Nothobranchius furzeri: one gene and its partners. The protein of the gene in region 4 interacts with the protein of the main gene of each other region in a biochemical or structural test. Links are inferred from orthologs where the notes say so. Each region holds a gene or a part of one and is shown on either strand. Other genes may lie near its edges. The genes, in order: tnfrsf1a, cops5, map3k7 and ikbkb.

Region 1 (5,108 bases), on a different chromosome or scaffold from region 4:
TGGGGACTGTTTGATTGTGACTGGGAGCTGGTTCCAGAGAGAAGGTGCAAGGACTTGAAAAGCCCTATCACCACGAGTCTTAAATCGGGTGCGAGGGACCTGGTCAGCGGACCGTAATGACCTTGAGGGAACATGCTTTATTAAGAGCTCCACTAAGTAGGTGGGGGCACTGCCTTGGAAAATCTTAAGACACAAAAAGCAGAATTTTAGACTGTGCCCGGTATGAGACTGGGAGCCAGCGAAGAGAATCCAGCACTGGAGAAATGTGGTCCCTTGTTTTCATGATTCTGCTGGTCTACATGGATTTCCCCCCACAACCATTTCTAGGAGAAAAACAGTAGGGCTGTAGCGAAGCCTCGATGATGTAGATGTCTCGATTCTAAAAATTTGTCGACGTCAGATCCGGTAGTCGACGCACCACGCCCACTTGTTGCATCCCCAGGAGTTTGTAAATAGAGGTGGAATCTGCCTGTTTTTCCTCCAGTTCGCCCTCTTCTCCGCCTTCACTAACATCTCCACCAAATACAGAAGACCCGGAACAACGTATTCCTTTCCTGTTTTGCCCGCCTTCGTCTCCCGGCAACGGACAACAACTTCCGGGGTCAGATGCGCTGCTTCGTCTCTATCGCAGATGTAGAAAATCACCGGGAGCGTTTCTCCCTTCATAAAGGAGCTTCTTTCAGACATTAGGAGAGCTGTTTTTGTGGTAGCAGTCTCTCCTCCGTGCTGGTCTGTTTGCTGCTGGGTGTTTTTGGTTTATTTAAACTTGGTAACTTGAACTTAACGTTGGTAAAGCTACTGTTAGCACTTTCGCTAACAGCTTCTTGCGTTTGGATAAGCTGTTACGTTTTGGTTTAGAGTTCATCTTTTTTGTGGTGCAGATCTCCCTTTTATTCCATTTAGAGTGTTGTGGGTTTTCGGTTTAGTTTAAAATATCACCTCGAGTTTGGTTTAACCGCCCAGTTTAGAGTTTGGACCTTTGGAGATTCTTATTTTGGTCCAGAACCCAGTAATCTTTGCCCAGTGGGACATCCCTACTTATTTGTACTTTGTTTTAATCCCCCACAGGCAGAATTAAGTTTTATTATTCCCAACCGGTGGATGGAAAGATTTATGTTTTTTTTTTGTAGTTGTAAATAAATCTGATCATCATTTTAACTTTTAAATCCCGTGTTATTGTCCCTTCCTTTTTGCACACAAGCCAAACTCCCCAGGAAGGGTTGTAACACCACTCGCCTCACGCACATAAGTGACCAAAACAAAGCAGCATGGAGACACTCCATCTCCAACCACCTCTCAGGCAGCAGCCTGCACTCCCACGTTCTACACGTCACCAGAACACAACCAATCGCAACACAATAAAAGCAGTGTTATACAAAATGGAAGGCCTGTAGTGTTTATTCTCTTACAGTAACAACTTATCAATTTTTTGAGGAATTTATTAGATTTTTTTTGTTTTTATTAACTGTGCAATAGAAATTTAATCATTAGATTAATTGTCTAAATAGTCATTAGAATAGTTGACTATTCGATAAAATAATCGTCAGAATAATCGTTTTAAAAATAACCGTTTACCCCTAGCCCTAAAAAACAGATAATCCCAGTGAGCAGCAGCTGTGTGGTTGAACAAGTCTCATTGATGTCAGAGGTCAAAGGGGAAGGGCAGACTGGTTTGAGGTTATCAAAGAAGATCAAATGGTCACTAGTTTCAACAAAGGTCAGTAAACAACATGTTGAACCTTGAACCACAGCGGGTGTCACACCTGTCAGGTAAAAACAGGAAACTGTAGCTACACATATCACAGGATCTATTCAACGATAGGAGACGGGAAAAATGTTTCCCCAAGTCTGATGAGTCTGGATGTCTGCTGCAACATTCAGATGCTAGGGTCAGAATTTGGTGTCATCATAAAAACATGGATCCATCTGCTGCTGGTGTAATCATGTGGAGATGTTCTTGTCCAACTTATTAGCACCAATTGAGTATTGTTGCTGTCCATCTTTTATTACATGGACCCATTTTCTGATGTCTACTACCAGCAGGATAATGCACCATGTCAGCAAGCTTAGATCACCTCTGACCGAGTTCACTGGACTCTGACGGCCTCTGCAGTCACCTGATCTCACTCCAGTCCAGAACCTTCAGGATGTGGGAGAACAGGAGGATCTAACTTTGTGACGATGTCACGATAATATGGACCAGAACCTCTGAGGGATCTTTCCAAAAATTCAATCTCTGACATGAACATTTAAGAAGGTTCTGAAGGCAAAATGAGGCCCAACCCGTTTACTAGTAAGGCGTACCTAATAACTGTGACTAGTTTGGGGGTTTTCTTTTACAAAAAGGCTTTAGGGTTTGACTTTAAAGTTATCTATGATTCTAGTTTTGGTTTTATCAGTTTAACCTGTTGCTGCTGACCTCTGACCTGCTCACTGGACGTTTGATTGAACACAAACTGTGCTGGAATGTAATGAATGTACTTTGGCTCTGAGACAAAGCCAAACTGGACATTCAAAAGAATAGCACCCAGTTTACCACCTCGATTATATCAAAAGAGGAGGTTCTCGGTTACTAAGGATTTTATTTGAATATTAAATACACACGAAACCATTTTCCTGTTTTGAAGCAAATCAGGTGATATCATCGACTCATTCTGGGTTTAACATAATAATAATAAATGTTATTCTAGGGTGCCTAAAACCCAAGGTCACTGCACAGAGATAAAAACAGAAATAAGAACATTCAAGCAAGCATTTACAGTTACAAGTGAAAGCAAAGGGAGTGCTTAAGAGCTACAATCAGTTAAAATCACTATTTAAACGTGTATTTGCATGCATGATGTCAAATATTCTGACAAAAGATGTTACTCAAGTGACACCATCCGTTCACAAACAACGTGACTTTATAGAAATAAAAAATAATGAAAAATGTGATCATTTTTGTTGAGTTTATTGTCATTTTCCCCTCTAATTCTTTTATTTAATTATTTATGGTTCAGTTTCCGGAAACATCCGGTTGAGGTGAGATTTGTTTTCCCCTAAGAGGCTTATCAGATAAAACAAAAATAATGTAACAAACAAACTGGATTTATTCCCCTAACTACACAGGAGGCATTAAGATGCATCATTTAAACGCATTTGCTAAAACGTTTGCGATTATTTTTTTTTGCGTCAGTCACATTTTTCTGCGCCACTTTGGCAAACTTCACTTCCCTGTCGCGCTGGAACTAAACCCCTGATCCAGGCTGACGTTTCACTTTAAAATCCCCGAGACTCAAATCTCTCCTGCGGACGAATAAACAAACTAAATTATTAGTCGAATCTAAATCTGCTCAAGACATTGTTTTTCTTTCTGAACTCATAGTTTCGGTTCGGCACCACATATGCCTCCCCCCACCCCCCCGGTCTGAGATGAGTCTGCTCTTCCCACAGACCTACGCGCGTGTTTTACAGTTATTTACCTGAACAGCTGCGCTCACAGGGACGCTTTCACCTGTCTTCTCGCTCCGAACATCGGCTAGAAGCTGTAGGATTTAAAATAGTGCTTTATTTGTGTTCCCGGAGAGCCAGCGCGCTGTCGGCGCCGCAGCCGCTGCCTGGATAGAAGAAGGCGGACTCAAACGGGAAATAGATGCGTCACCGACGCGTTTCAAGGAATAGTGGCAGTTGGGCAAGGAACCTGAAGAAAACCAACCTGTTTAAATGAGCAATAGGCTGCAGGCTGGAGACTCGTTTATAGTGAAGTGTTTTATTGTTTGATGGTTTTTTTTTTGTATTTGTGGCATTTTATGATCTTTAATGTGGAAAAACTGAAATCCTGTAATTCTGCCTTCTTCTGTCCATCTTTATATTGACAACTTTATTTTCTACCCTCTGCTGAGATCTGACCTCTTCAGTGAAATGCCCTCAAGCTGCATTATGCAACTCCAAATTCATGCTGCTGATCTTAATCTTTTTCTTTCTTTTATAGATCTAAATGCAGTGGCTTTACAAACCTTTCCTAAAAATGATTTATCTTCCCATCCATCCATTCATTTTCAGCAGCTTTTCAGGGTCAGGCTGTGGGAGCAGCAGCCTAAACAGGGTGCATGGTTCAAACTTCCCTTTCCCCTTGGGCCAGCTCCTCCGGGGGAATCCCAAGGCGTTCCCTGACCAGCTGAGAGACATAGTCCCTCCAGCGTGTCCTGGGTCTTCCCTTAGGTCTCCTCTCGGTTGGACGTGCTCAGAAAACCTCACCAAGGAACTAGATGCCCGAGCCGCCTGAACTGACTCCTCTCAATGTGGAGGAGCAGCAGGTCTACTCCGAGCCCCTCCCAGATGACCGAGGTTCTCACCCTATCTCTAAGGGAGAGCCCAGCCAGGCAGCCACCATGCGGAGAAAACTCATTTCAGCAACTTGTACCTGTGATCTCATTCTTTCGGTCACCCCTGAATGATTTATCTTTACTTTTTGGAAATAAAATCAACCAAAAAGACCTGCTTAGCACTTTTACTAACACAATATATTGCATTTGTATTTTTCTAAATGTGCCACAAAGTGGATCTCTGAACCTAAAATGAATTCAAATCTTTTCTTCTTCGAGCAAAATAAAAATCTGAAGAAACAAACAAAAATCGCAGTTTCAATGCATTTTATTTGTAAGATCAACACTGAATGATTAAAGGTCAATATAAATGGATTTAGTGGGTCATCTTGTGGCAACGTTGTGTACTGCAACTGAGCAAACTCGTTCTTTATGTATCAATAAAGTGTTACAGCTGTGAAGGAAATATAATATATATACGTGTATATATACACATATATACATATATATGTATGTATATATATATATGTATATATATATATATATATATATATATATATATATATATATATATATATATATATATATATATATATATATATATATATATATGTATACAAAATATAAACATACACATATATATACATACATACATACATATATATATGTATATGTATGTGTATATATATGTATGTGTATATATATATATATATATATATATATATATATATATATATATATATATATACACACATACATATATATATGTATGTATGTATGTATGTATATATTATATACATATAT
Region 2 (3,953 bases), on a different chromosome or scaffold from region 4:
ATGACTAACATCGGCTGATATTGATGCCAATATGTTGTGCATCCCTAATGTCAACAATTAGATTTAAAACAATATTACTGCTTATTTCTATTTGTATTTGGCAGAATGTTAATTATGAGTGTGAGTGCAATTGTACAGAAGCTCTACGATGCACATTACAAATGCATTGTGTTGGAGTTGGAGCTGGGTGCTGAATTGCTCTGTGTTTTTGCCGTGGTGAATTTCATGCTGGAGTAATAAAACAAAACGTGTGCATCAACTGTTTCTACTACTCCACTAGGGTGTGATAAATGATTTATTTTTCCCTTTTTCCATCGTTTTGAACCGTTTTTTAGGATAAATCTGTTGTTTCTCTAGAAATAATCTTCAGTTTGAAACAGTTTGGAGTATTATATTAACTAGTAGGGAAGCAGTCCTTTTATAAAAATGTTTGTGTCGTATTAAATCTGTACCATCGGTCTCATCTGGTAGGTTGGTCGGTTGGAGAACGCCATTGGCTGGTACCACAGTCACCCCGGCTACGGATGCTGGCTCTCCGGCATAGACGTCAGCACTCAGATGCTCAACCAGCAGTTTCAGGAACCTTTTGTTGCAGTTGTGGTGAGGCAGGAAACGCCACTTTTTTGTTTCTTCAAACAAATAAACATGAATGTTTATGTCACTGAGAAGATGTATGAGTTGTAGCTTTCTGTGTTGTGTTGATGCAAACATGGACACTTCATTTGGTGCAGCGGCTCTTGGCTGCCAGCGGCATCACATAATTAAGTGTGTGTGTTCTGTGCTGTGACAGCTCCGGTGGTCAGGTTTGAGTGGTCCCCGGAGGCTTTCGTGACCTCTGACCCTGTTTTCCTGCTCTACTGTATCTCTCTCTCCACAGATCGACCCAACCCGGACTATTTCCGCAGGGAAAGTCAACCTCGGTGCCTTTAGAACATACCCAAAGGTAGAGGAAAAGAGTCGGGCAAATTATGTGTTTAACGTTTTTGGGACACAAAACACGGGTGTGCTGTTACAATAAGTTTCAATTAATGCTAATCGTTTTAAATTTAAATCTGTTCACTTTGGTTTTTAATTTAAAAAGTCTTTTCTCTTCACTTTCAGGGTTACAAGCCTCCAGACGAGGGACCGTCAGAGTACCAGACAATTCCTCTGAACAAGATTGAAGATTTTGGCGTCCACTGTAAACAGTGAGGAGCTGTAGAATAAAATCATTGCATTAAGGTCACTTTAACTTTGTGAAACTCCTTATTATTTATTTCTTTTGTAGGTATTACGCCTTGGAGGTAACCTACTTTAAGTCATCCCTTGACAGAAAACTCCTGGAGCTCCTCTGGAACAAATACTGGGTTAATACCTTAAGTTCCTCCAGCCTCCTGACGGTATGTAAACAAGCTCAAAAATCAAAATGTGCACTAATTGTTTGGCATTTTGATTTATGGTTAATTATTACACTATAACTCATTCAGACATGCGCTCAGCAGCTTGAGATGTTGTGATTTATTGCTGCAGAATAGCTAAGCCTCCTTGTTTATTAGTGTTAGTAATAAGCTTAATGTGGACTTTTGTAACGAAGATGAGTAGGAAAGTTAGGCGCTCTCCCGAGACTGATGTGAATTTGCATGGTGGCTCTGTCCTGAACGGGAATAAATATGTCAGGCTTGAACAAACGGTGAGTTTTGGGGGATTCTGGGTGAGGATGAATTGACTAGATGTCAGGAACGAGCTGCTCCACGGGCGACAGGCTTTGTCAGGAGCTATAGTCACCCTGCAAGGTCCCCGTGTCACTATTAAACGCAGCCTCACCTTAAGTCAACATTTCAGTCATTCACCACCAAAGTGTCCCAGCAGCCTGTCGGACAGATTTGTTAGCCTCCTGCAAAAAAAAAAAAAATCCTATGTAGAAAAATCTTTTGCTGGCAAATTGTGCATGAATTGGTTTCTGTGTGTGTGTGTGTGTGTGTGTGTGTGTGTGTGTGTGTGTGTGTGTGTGTGTGCGCATGTGTGCGTGCGTGCGCGCGCGTGTGTGTGTGATGATCAGAACTCGGACTACACCACAGGCCAGGTGTTTGACCTGTCGGAGAAGCTGGAGCAGTCCGAGGCCCAGCTTGGCAGAGGCAGCTTCATGCTCGGCTTAGACACACACGACAGGAAGTCCGAGGACAAACTGGCCAAAGCGACACGAGACAGGTAGCTGGATAGGGCTAGACAGTTCAAATCAAATGTTAACTAGTTTATTTTGTCATCACATGGATCATTTACATGGGCTCTTCAAGGTTCGTGGTTCATAGGATCACATTGATTGATTTTATTATTTTAACTGTGACTTCTGGCATTAGTCCACTGAAGTCTTTTTCACAGAATGACATAAAATCTGTTATTTACTTTTGTAAACTTTCAGATTTTAATTAAAGCCCTTTTTAGGCTTATTAATATTATCTATTATTTATGAACCATTTAAGTCACAATTCTGATTAAATCAACAGTTCAATTTTTTCTAATTCTAGACAAAAATCAGTTTTTGAAGCAAATGGTTTTTTATTTATATTGGGCCATACTCAGATTAAAAATATGCATTTGACACTTAATTAAATTAAGCACATAATTCAGATTTTTCATTAGAACTGTATTATTGTCTAATGTACCTTTCTTTATTTTTGTGTCAAAAATTTGTTTCTTTGCTTTTTTCCACAGAATTAATTATCAACAAAATATCAGGAGAAAAATTCAGACTTTAAAATTCAAAACAAACTTTACTGAAGCTCTGTTTTGTCTTTATAATGTTTTCTAACACCAGCAGAGATGTTTTATCTCTGTGTCGCACTAATTTTTTGTTTTTCTGTTTCTTTTTAGCTGCAAGACGACCATAGAGGCGATTCACGGTCTGATGTCTCAAGTCATAAAGGATAAGCTCTTTAATCAGATCAACACTTCCTCCAATTAAAGCTCCACCCGGAGCCAATGTGTTAGTTTTACATGGGATGTCTTTACTGTGCATGCATCCACTGTTTAACTCTGCACCATTTCTCTTTGAAGTGATTTTTGTTTGTCCGAGAAGTGGCCAAGATCGCGACAATGCAAGCAAAAAATAAAATATTAAGTGCAGATTGTGTCAGTGATTCATAATTTTTATTTGTTCATATGTTTTTTTTTGTTGTTGCAGGCTCAGCTCACTATCCAAAATGAATTAGATGGATTTTATTATTGTTTCTTTATAAGATTTTGCCTTTGAACAGTTATTTTTCCTCACATTTCTCTGCAGCTGAACATTTAAATAACACACTGTGGTCACATTTATGTCCTAGCCCTGCTGCAGGCGATCATTGCTTGTCATAGCATTACATAGTGGAACAACAAACTCAACCTCCTGCACAGGCTCAGCGGGAATCTGCTGCCATGAGTGGGTTGTCGCTGGCGTCACTTTCCCGTGCAGCTCGGCGGGCGGCGTGCTGGCAGAGTGGTTGGGGAGGCAGGTTGCTGCGAGGCTGTGATGCAGCACAGAGACAGAAGCCTCAGACACAGAAGTCCATTCACCCAACGTGTCTGCTCTCCATCGAAGCAGACACTCACCGAGTCTGCCTTTTATTCTAACTGACAGCTGCTCTGGTCTGGCTTTGTGTCATGTCTTGTTTTTTTGGTATTGTAATGGCTAAACGTATATTTTTGGTGTCATGTCCTGCAGAGTAGAGAATCCCTGTGGGACCGGTTACATGCCTGTGTTTTCTCACGCACATGGGCCTTTGGCACCAATTCTTATAATGATTTTCTTCTACCATTATAGGAAATGTCGTAAAAATGGAGCGGTTTCAATTTAATTCTGCAGAAGTGAGAAATAATTTAAATATAGAAATAGTTTTAAAGGCAATCTAGTGAAAAGCTTGTGTTTTTGCCAGATATCTAAAGTAATTTCATGGCAGAGAGTCACCCTTTTGAATAACTATGTGAAACATGCACAG
Region 3 (4,556 bases), on a different chromosome or scaffold from region 4:
ACTGGTGTAAATAACACACAACACTATTAATAACAGGTGTGGATGTAAACATTACTGACTGGTGTAAATAATACACAACACTATTAATAACAGGTGTGGATGTAAACATTACTGACTGGTGTAAATAACACACAACACTATTAATAACAGGTGTGGATGTAAACATTACTGACTGGTGTAAATAATACACAACACTATTAATAACAGGTGTGGATGTAAACATTACTGACTGGTGTAAATAACACACAACACTATTAATAACAGGTGTGGATGTAAACATTACTGACTGGTGTAAATAATACACAACACTATTAATAACAGGTCTGGATGTAAACATTACTGACTGGTGTAAATAACACACAACACTATTAATAACAGGTGTGGATGTAAACATTACTGACTGGTGTAAATAATACACAACACTATTAATAACAGGTGTGGATGTAAACATTACTGACTGGTGTAAATAATACACAACACTATTAATAACAGGTGTGGATGTAAACATTACTGACTGGTGTAAATAACACACAACACTATTAATAACAGGTGTGGATGTAAACATTACTGACTGGTGTAAATAATACACAACACTATTAATAACAGGTGTGGATGTAAACATTACTGACTGGTGTAAATAACACACAACACTATTAATAACAGGTGTGGATGTAAACATTACTGACTGGTGTAAATAACACACAACACTATTAATAACAGGTGTGGATGTAAACATTACTGACTGGTGTAAATAATACACAACACTATTAATAACAGGTGTGGATGTAAACATTACTGACTGGTGTAAATAATACACAACACTATTAATAACAGGTGTGGATTGGTTCGGTCGGAGGTCTAAAACTCCGCCCTGGGCCTGAAGCCCTGCAGATACATTTAGTTTCTATAAACAACAACAAATAAACAACAGCAGCTGGATTCTACTTTGTTCCTTAAGTTGAGTCACGTAGTTTTACACGTTCACCAGCAGCTCTGCCAGCTGATTGGCTCTTTAGTAACTAGTGACATCATACAGGTGTGGTACTGAGCTGCACGGATGCATCAGAGGATTTCGCTGTAGTTGGTGTTCTTTCCTATTCTCACTCTCTCTTTCTTTGCCTTTCTTAATCACAATAGTCTATTTTTGCTTATTTTAAACATGTTTTTTGATCATTTTTTGAAATCTTTTTTATATTTAAATGTTTTTTGTTTTTGTGAAGCGCCTCGTGGTTTCTATCTTTAGAGGCGCTATAGAAAATATCACTTTCTTTCAAAACGGATTAAAGATAGGACAGGATATATAATCAATACCATGAACATGTATAGATACGTTATCGTACAATCTCACCAGCCTGTAACTCTACTTTATTTCTCAAAATGCACCAGACTGATGTTTTTAAACATAAAATGTCCAACCCAGAACCCCCTAGACTAGTTTAATACTCATCATCTGTTTCATGTCTGCTCTTTGGTGCTGGTGCACTACTTTTGGTGGAATAAGAACTGGATTATAAATATATCAGAGAGATGTCAACAGCCACACTTTAGCTTGCTACGCCCCTGCATGCACGCATTCTCCTCCTCCTCCACCACGATGCTCTCGCAGAGGGAACGCAGCGGCGAAACAAAGCTCGCTAAAATACAAACATCCCCAAATAATTAGAAACCACAAATCTAAATGCAAAGTTTAAAGCGGAACATTGACCCAAAGGTTTCCTGATTGAGCAGATGTGTGTGAATTCATGTAAAGACAAGCTAGCAGCGTCTGCTAACTCTAGAAATTCACTGGTTGTATATTTATAGATATAAAAGTTACAGTCATCTTGTTTCTTGTTTGCAATTATATTAATATTTTAGATATCGTCTAGCCCTAGTTAGTTTCTTGTATTTTTCTGTATATCACCACTAAGAAGATAATATATCTTTAAAGAAGGTGAAGATTCTCGTTTTTCTATAGTGGTTTGTTAGCCAAGTGATGCGAGGACAGCACACGCTCACTACGCAGGGCAAATTTCTACTTCACAAGTTGTTCCAAATAAACTAAAACATCTCAAACACTTTACCTCATTTTGAAAGAGGCAAAGTAGCTGAAGATGCTGATGTATAATATGTGTGCATGTTATGTAAATGTGTCAATAAAAGCCTGAAAACTGATACAGATACGTTCTGATATCGACATCAGCTGATATTACAGGCTGACCGATAACATCGGCAGTTCTGATAAAAAAGTCACAACATTAATTCATGTTTTTAATCTAAGAAATCTGGGATTTTATCTACAATGAATCAATAACAAAGGCTCGTAAGAGCAGAGAGACGTTTTAATAAAAATATAACAAAGTGATGAAGAAATCTTTCATCCTACAGAAAACACATTTTCCCCACGAACCACTGCTTTGGTCTCTCAGTAACACACACACACACACACACACACACACACACACACACACACACACACACACACACACACACACACACACACACACACACACACACACACACACACACACACACACACAGAGTGACTCACCGTTGTGCACAGCCCACATAATGCGAAAAGCTGGCCCACCAATCTCATCAAAAGGTTTCCTGCGAGTGATGACCTCCCAGAGAATGATTCCCCAGCTGAACACGTCACACTTCTCGCTGTAATTGCTGCCTGTGTGTACAGAAGAACCCACACAAACACTCAGGACCTTCCCACTCCTCAAACGGGGAGAAACACCTCCGTCTGACACGGATGGCTGATGAAGGGAATTCTCTGTGGCACATTTGGGATGAGAATGAGAAATGTGCCTGGGAATGAGCAGCAGCTTTTATCTTCTCTTTGCTTCCAGGAGGGAGCAGGAGGAAAATTTGGGAGCAATTTGTCCAGAAGAACGGCTCTTGTATTTCTTAATTGCCGGGCCTCTGATGCAACATAAAAGTGCACAACACAAACCGATTTTAAAGTTGCTGTGCAAGGATGTTCTGACAGCTTTTCACGCTGATGCAAATTAGCTGCGAGGAGTTCACGGAGAGGGCAGGAGTAAGTTGTTTAATTGCACTGGAGTCGTGTATCATGCCTTCAAAAACAAAATAATGACTAGACATGAATTCATCTTTCCCCCCGACCCCCTTGCCAGGAACATGTTTCATCATTTAGCACTCCATTAGGCTGCTGGCTGAATGAGAACACGCATTTTAAACTGCAGCCTCCCAGGGGAAATAACAGCAGTAGCTTTAAACATTCATCTCCTCGCCACACTCTGGAGACAACCATCGATAAGACAGAGGAGCACCGAGGCTGACGACGGAGCAGCAATTAATGCGTCTGTGCTGAAGCTGTAGATGCAATTAATGTAGAAAAAGACTGAACCCCCCCGATCACTTAGAGAACTGATGGAAGTAAACAGAACCAACAAGAACACAAACCACCTAAATGAACGGCCACTGATACTTGCCTTCAAACACCTCGGGAGCCATCCACGCAGCACTTCCTTTGTTGTTGGTCATGTGGGTCTGGATGTCACACGCTGTCCCAAAGTCACAGATCTTCAGCACGGTGCCGCCCGCCACCAGGAGCAGGCTGCAGCAGCAACAAGAACATCACAACCAATAAACACCTTCACATTAGGCCAGAATCATCACCGTAGGTGGCCTCGGAGCAGCCTCTGGTCATGTGATCAGTGCTTTAACCCTTTATACTACAGCCAGTTTCTCTTGTTTAGCAACATGACCCCTGGATCAACCACAGGAAGCTCATCGGTCCTCAGGATGTAAACTATTTCTCCAAACAGAGGCTGGTCAAGAGGCGTTATGGTCACGTTTACACAGAAACACACCAGAGGATGTGGCTGAACTAACTGCATCGTTCGCCTTCGGCTCATGCACCGACAACGGGATGCAAAAGTTTGGGAAGCCTTCGTGACTTTCATGTGAAAATCGTTGGTTAGGATGAAAATTTCACTTACATATATCCCACAGGAGACGCACACACTGAGATTGAGAAGTGAAACAAAGTTCATAAGATTTACAGAAAGTGTGCAATAATTGTTTAAACTAAATTAGGCGGGAGCATACATAAAAAATACCACAAAAAATAAATCACCTCAATATTTAGCAGATCCTCCTTTTGCAGAAAAAACTGCTTCTAAACCGGGAGTCTCCAACACGTCGCTCGCTCCGCACTGGAAAGTCGCCAATGAGCCCTGCTGCCTGACTTGTACTTAACGAGGGGCAGCTTTTAGGTTTGATGGCAAACCTTCCAGTTTTCTGTAATATCTCATCTAAAATCAGCTTTTTGTGGAAGTAAAATAAAAGTCTGATTATTGCAAATGTGCTGTACTGGAAATACATGGATTACTGGCTCAGGCTGCAGCATGGATCGCCGTTTCTGATGTCATCAACCGCAGGTGGATGAAGACGCACCTCTAAAGAAGACGCGGTGACGTCGGTTATACGGACCTGCACTCAGTAAAATAATCTGGGCGACAGTAAAGTCCCACCTGCAGTAACAGCTCGTTAGTTAAATGCTGTTCGTTTATGAACGCATGATGAACACATGATTCCAAACT
Region 4 (5,338 bases):
AAGCACGGGCATCAATGTTAGGCTCTAGGAGTGGAGAATCCACATTTGTTGTTTTTTATTCCTGTCCTGAAACGTGTTCATAAATAGCCCGTACAGCTGAGGTGAAATAGTTGGTGAGATTTGCAAGTAAACAACACAAACACAGACTTTATTGGCTGAAAGCAGAAACTAGGGATAAAAGCTTAGGAGAGGAAAAACAACAACCCTCCATTCATTTAATGCAGCGGTGAAACTGACCTGTTCATGATCTGGATCTCCAGACACCATCGCTCTTTGTTTCTGTCACTCAGCTCCTGACGACACTGCTTTATAGCGATCTGCTCCTCTGTGTCCTAAAAAGTAAGTAAGTTAGTAAAGTTTATTTATATAGCGCCTCTCACAGATATAAATCACAAAGCGCTGTACAACATGAGTAAAATCAGGGCAAATACCTCAAACCAATAAAAACATCATAAAAACAATAGCAGTGATAACAATAGTAACCAAAATCAGGAAAACACACAAAGTCCAGCATTTACATTCATACTGTGGAATGAACTTTTTTTTAATGTTGGTAAATTATTTAACTTCACCTTGGAACAAATCAATGGGAAAAAAAAGTCAAACGGGCATTCTCTATCCTGGTTAATAACAAAATGTCAGGTTTAAATTTAAACTACCAGCTAACGTTCTAGGGTACCTCTTAGCCAATAGCGGTGGCAGATTTAAATTCAAATGCAGTGCAGTTTTGACCTGACAACGGCACAACACTGACAGTTTTAGGCAGAAAATTTAAATTTTAACTAAAATGCACTAAAGTTCTAAACTATTGATGACACGTGTCTGCAGCACGATTAGACAAGCATTTATATAGTTTATCAGAAAAAAAAGTTGATTTGGGGGTGACTTGCTCTTTAAAGTGCTTTACGGAAGCAAGAACAGCAAACAAACAGTAAATCAAACAAAGAAATGTAGACGTTAATTTTCAGATTCAACAAATCGATAAAAGGCAAAGTCAAAAAGGTTAGCAGTTAACAGTCCAGAGAACAGAAAAAAAATATCCTCTCTCTAAAAAAAGACAAAGCCCGCAACCTGTTTCTCATCAAGGAAACGGCACCACCCCTCTTTCCTCTCTTGATGAAATCCCAAACCACCCTGACCTAATTGTAACCCACAGCATTGTCATAAACGCAGGAAGAAGGAAGTTAATTCATGTCAGCCGTGGTGCCAGGGCGTCTTCATCAGTAAAGCATTTTCCCCATCCCCTCCTAAAATCCAGACTGCAGCGGTGCAGAAGAGGACCACAAAATCCTTAACACAGTTTCAATGATTACTATGTTGTGTTGATGTGAACTGATTATAATATTTTTTTAAATGTGCATGAAAATTTTGTTTTTACAAAAAAGTAAATGATGAGTTCCTCATCCTGTGTTACATCCAGACTAGGCTGCTGCCTGCATGGCTCTGAGGTCGTCCCGAAAGTGAGGGTGAGTAATACGAGTGCAGCTGCGAGGAAGAGGAACTAACAGGGAGTGTTTATATTCCCGTACTGTCCTTTCACCTTGTCATGCTGTGACTTAATCAGACATCATGAATTTCCTTGTATGATGTATTTATTTCTCAGGTAAAAAAAACCCAAAAGCACAAACTAGGTCAACATCATCTTAGAGCACGTTTGTGTACACACCATGTCTTCTCTTGCAAACAAATCCTGCTCAGAAACATCAATAAATCTCCACTTATAATACCATAAGTTAGCAGTGTTGAGAGTCTTGCTGCAATACTGCAGGCAGAAATCTAAAATAACAAGTTTTTAGCATAATTTTAGCATAAATAAACAAACACTCGAGATTTATGACACCGACCTCATTTTGTTAGACAAGAAAAAGTAACGAAAGAGTTTTAACATTATCCAGTAAAGAGATGCTGAAGCATAATCAAAGACATTTATTTGTCTGGAATTTTAGAAAACTGTATGTTTTAAAGATAAAGACACATTAGGCTTTTTAAATTTGAAATAATATCAAAAAAGTGATTCTTTGTCATGCTTTTCTAAAGAAAATCCAAGTTTAACCATCCATTTTCAAGATAAATAACCCTTGTTGATTTTTTCCCCCCATAACAAAAGTTATTTTCATCAAGATTTTTTTAAATTGCACCTTATTTTGCCATCTGGTGACATTCCCAAAGCCTCCTGTGCCAAGTCTCTCTTTCAGCTCCCAAGGCCCACAGTTTTGAGGCTGCTGCAGAGGGACTCGATTCATGGTCTCCTCACCTGCAAATAAATAAATAAACAAATAAATTAATTAAGTAGAACTCTCTTAGAGCTCATTATCAGAGGTTAGCCCTGAGAAAATGCCCTGAAGTAATCTCAGTCACCCATTACGCAGTAAATGAATTATTAAATGTACAGAATGATGTTGAATTGGCAATGCACAGAATATTCCAAGAATTACCCTAAAATTAACAGATTACCAGTGGAGTCAGGCTCAAATGGGTGAAATAGGTCCAGGTAAGTGGGAGGAAGTAGAGAGAAAAGCAAGGGAGCCTAGAACTGAACCCTGTGGGACTCCATGAGAAGAGCAGATGTCACAAGTAGGACCTGACCGTCTCTATGCTGTTATAAGTTTCTATATTTGTTATAAAGCAATTTTAAATGGAAGTCTAAATATAATCTGTTCTTAGACTAAAAATAAAATGATTTGAGTAAGTACTTCTGAAAGTTGCATGTAAGTAAAACGGATGTTTTGAGGACTAATAACCACGTGTTAGAGATAGGAAATAATCAATTTTGTTTCGTTTTTATAAAAGCAGGTTTTCCACAGCGACACTTAAATGTACGTAAACTCTACAAGTTGGTGTTAAATGTTTCTCAAGCTGCAGTTAAACCCGCAGATTTAATGTAAGCGTCTAGTTTTATGAGAAAACAGCGTTTTGTTTGTGTTGCAGCGTTTTAATGAGGTCTGCTGTTGCATTAAAGGACTTTTCAGACTTTAAGCTTTACTCTGCACATTGACCCGTTTCTCTGCTTGGCAACAGAATAAAACTAAACTAGGTTTTCTCTTTTGAGATACTTGTTATTACGACCTACTACAACATGTTTGCGGTTCATGTTCAGGCACGTGAGCATCAGTCCGCTTCGGTCTTACCTTGAAACGTCTTTAACCGCGTTTAAGTCGCTCTCACGCTTGATTTTCTTTAAACAAAAGCGTGTATGGAGCTTTTAACCGAGTTAAACTGCTTTGTCTGCTTATTTAGGCGAGACAACACATCTCCCAGGCTGTCCACTTCCTGATACTCATATTTCCTGTTAACCTGATGAGACATAAACCCCGCCCACCGCGCGGGCTGACTTCTCGGGTCAAATCTTCAAATCCAGCTCACAGACTTCAAACTGATAGATGAGGGTAGGGAATGTTTGATAGTAGCCTTTCAGTTTGCGCCAGTCAGTGTTTTGGAGGTCACAACATGAAAATCCACGCGTTTACAAACTTTTTTACATTTTTAAATAATTTTCTTGTGCGCTAAAATGACCCTTTTTACAGGATTAATGAAATAACGCCCCCTGTGGCCAGAATATCGCACTAACAACTTCACAGTTGCCGGTTAACAGGTGTTACACAGTTATTATAACGGTACACATATCGGTCTGTTGGACTTGGAAAACATTGAGCTCACATACCTGACGCTGCTGTCCGGCTCCAGCACGTTTCCTGCACGTTTTAGATCATGAACACAGCTGGTAAGTTTTATTTTGTGATGCATCACTCCTGGAGACACTAAAGATTGGGAGACGTTTCAGCTGTTTCAGTGTTAAAGACAAATGCACAGCGGGATTTTGGTTTCGGTTCTTTTTTTTTGTTTCCTCGTGTCCTGTCTGGCTGTGAAGCAAACAGAATTAATGTCTGAATGCTGGTGACAAGCCTTAAAAAATCAACTAATCAATGATGAACAAGAGTCTGCTTCTACACCTGCAGAAGGAGAGAAAAAGAAAAGGGGCACAACAACAATACAACAGGAGCAAGCTATCACTGTGTCAACCTGATGAGGAAATATAAAATCAACATTGTTTTACTGAACAAATGATAATAAATCACAGTGCATTAAGTGCCAACCACAGCCTTAAGACAAGTGTTGAACGTGCCCAAGTCCATGCTTTAGAGAGCACCATGTGAGCACCTAGTGTACATGCGCTTGTTTATGTAAGGTTTCTCTATAGGAGCGTCCAGTAGAGAGTGTGAGGGGCCACAGATCTGCCCCCAAAAGATGTGTAGGAGATGGAAGGAGCTCCAAGTCTCAGAGATCCAGGAGCTGCCCCAGAGCGCAGGGAACCCAGGGAGACTGCAACCAGAAAATCCCCTGCCCCCCCTCAAGAGCCGCAGAAGATCACTCTGGGGGGCTACAACCAGCAGCCGGCAGAGTCCCGGGGGATATCAGCGGCAAGCCCACAGGCCCGCCCACAGCCTCCCACCCCCAAGCCGGACGAGCCTGGAACCCAGCGACTTGGGACCCAGGGGCGACCACCCCCGCTGGGGACCTAACAGAGCCCAGGGACTCAGATCCCGCAGGCAGCCACAGAGATTAATCAGGCAGATGCCAAAAATCAATCATGCAGACCAAGGCACCACACCCCACACCAAGTGTGACAGGGGGAGGGGAGGCGAAGATGTATAGCAGCAAAAGAAGTCCCTGGAGAGGGGAGGAGTCAAAGGCCCCACCTGACATATACAGTCATACACAAACACAGTCACACACTCCCTCCCTCATGCTCACACATACACATACAACCAAAGACTTACAAAAATGCACGCCGGACACCCACTCATGCTCCCCATACACACCCTATTCACTCTGGTCCCGGTACTGCTGCACATTGGGTACAACCATCACCGGTTCCCAGAGTTCAACCCTTTCTGCTGGGGTGCTGATGAGCAGATCCCCGCCCAACGCCGAGCAAAGCGACCCACCACCCCAGACCCCAGCCAGTCGGCCAGATCCCCCTCCTAGCCTCCAGCCCCGGGAAGCCAAGTGACAACAGAGGCGTGCTAAGACCCCAAGTCTCCTTCCCCCTGCTCCAATACAGTGATGGTGCATGTTGATGAGGTGTATTCGTGGCTGTGGTGAGCGGGCAGTGCAGGCATCATCTGGCCTATGCCAGCTGATACCACCACACCATGCCTCTTTCCCCCACAGTCCTCTGTGTCTAAGTGCAGTTTAAAATTGGAAGTGGGCACCGGCACTTGGGATGAGGCTAAAAGATCCCTTTGCCAAATTCCGTTAAATGTGCTCACTCCCAAGGCCCTAAGTGTGTGTTTGCGTGGAACATCGTTGGTGGAAGTGTTTAATGTGCAAATAAAAT

The links.
Region 1: of the proteins of ikbkb (region 4) and tnfrsf1a, one has a biochemical effect on the other in vitro, tested with the Homo sapiens proteins (2 studies listed by BioGRID, with this or other methods). The link is inferred for Nothobranchius furzeri from reciprocal best matches to the Homo sapiens genes IKBKB and TNFRSF1A.
Region 2: of the proteins of ikbkb (region 4) and cops5, one has a biochemical effect on the other in vitro, tested with the Homo sapiens proteins (2 studies listed by BioGRID). The link is inferred for Nothobranchius furzeri from reciprocal best matches to the Homo sapiens genes IKBKB and COPS5.
Region 3: of the proteins of ikbkb (region 4) and map3k7, one has a biochemical effect on the other in vitro, tested with the Homo sapiens proteins (5 studies listed by BioGRID). The link is inferred for Nothobranchius furzeri from reciprocal best matches to the Homo sapiens genes IKBKB and MAP3K7.

What each region holds. Positions count from the first base shown.
Region 1 is NC_091745.1:73,830,641-73,835,748, reverse strand, and holds the start of tnfrsf1a (tumor necrosis factor receptor superfamily member 1A), read right to left. Parts: upstream 3,612-5,108; 5' UTR 3,462-3,611; intron 1-3,461.
Region 2 is NC_091747.1:51,738,730-51,742,682, reverse strand, and holds the end of cops5 (COP9 signalosome complex subunit 5), read left to right. Parts: intron 1-471; coding exon 472-600; intron 601-877; coding exon 878-943; intron 944-1,101; coding exon 1,102-1,187; intron 1,188-1,267; coding exon 1,268-1,379; intron 1,380-2,038; coding exon 2,039-2,187; intron 2,188-2,850; coding exon 2,851-2,941; 3' UTR 2,942-3,102; downstream 3,103-3,953. UniProt on the Homo sapiens protein: Probable protease subunit of the COP9 signalosome complex (CSN), a complex involved in various cellular and developmental processes.
Region 3 is NC_091743.1:91,294,026-91,298,581, reverse strand, and holds part of map3k7 (mitogen-activated protein kinase kinase kinase 7), read right to left. Parts: intron 3,569-4,556; coding exon 3,440-3,568; intron 2,656-3,439; coding exon 2,531-2,655; intron 1-2,530. UniProt on the Homo sapiens protein: Serine/threonine kinase which acts as an essential component of the MAP kinase signal transduction pathway. Plays an important role in the cascades of cellular responses evoked by changes in the environment.
Region 4 is NC_091757.1:55,668,438-55,673,775, forward strand, and holds the start of ikbkb (inhibitor of nuclear factor kappa-B kinase subunit beta), read right to left. Parts: upstream 3,281-5,338; 5' UTR 3,129-3,280; intron 2,255-3,128; 5' UTR 2,244-2,254; coding exon 2,139-2,243; intron 333-2,138; coding exon 238-332; intron 1-237.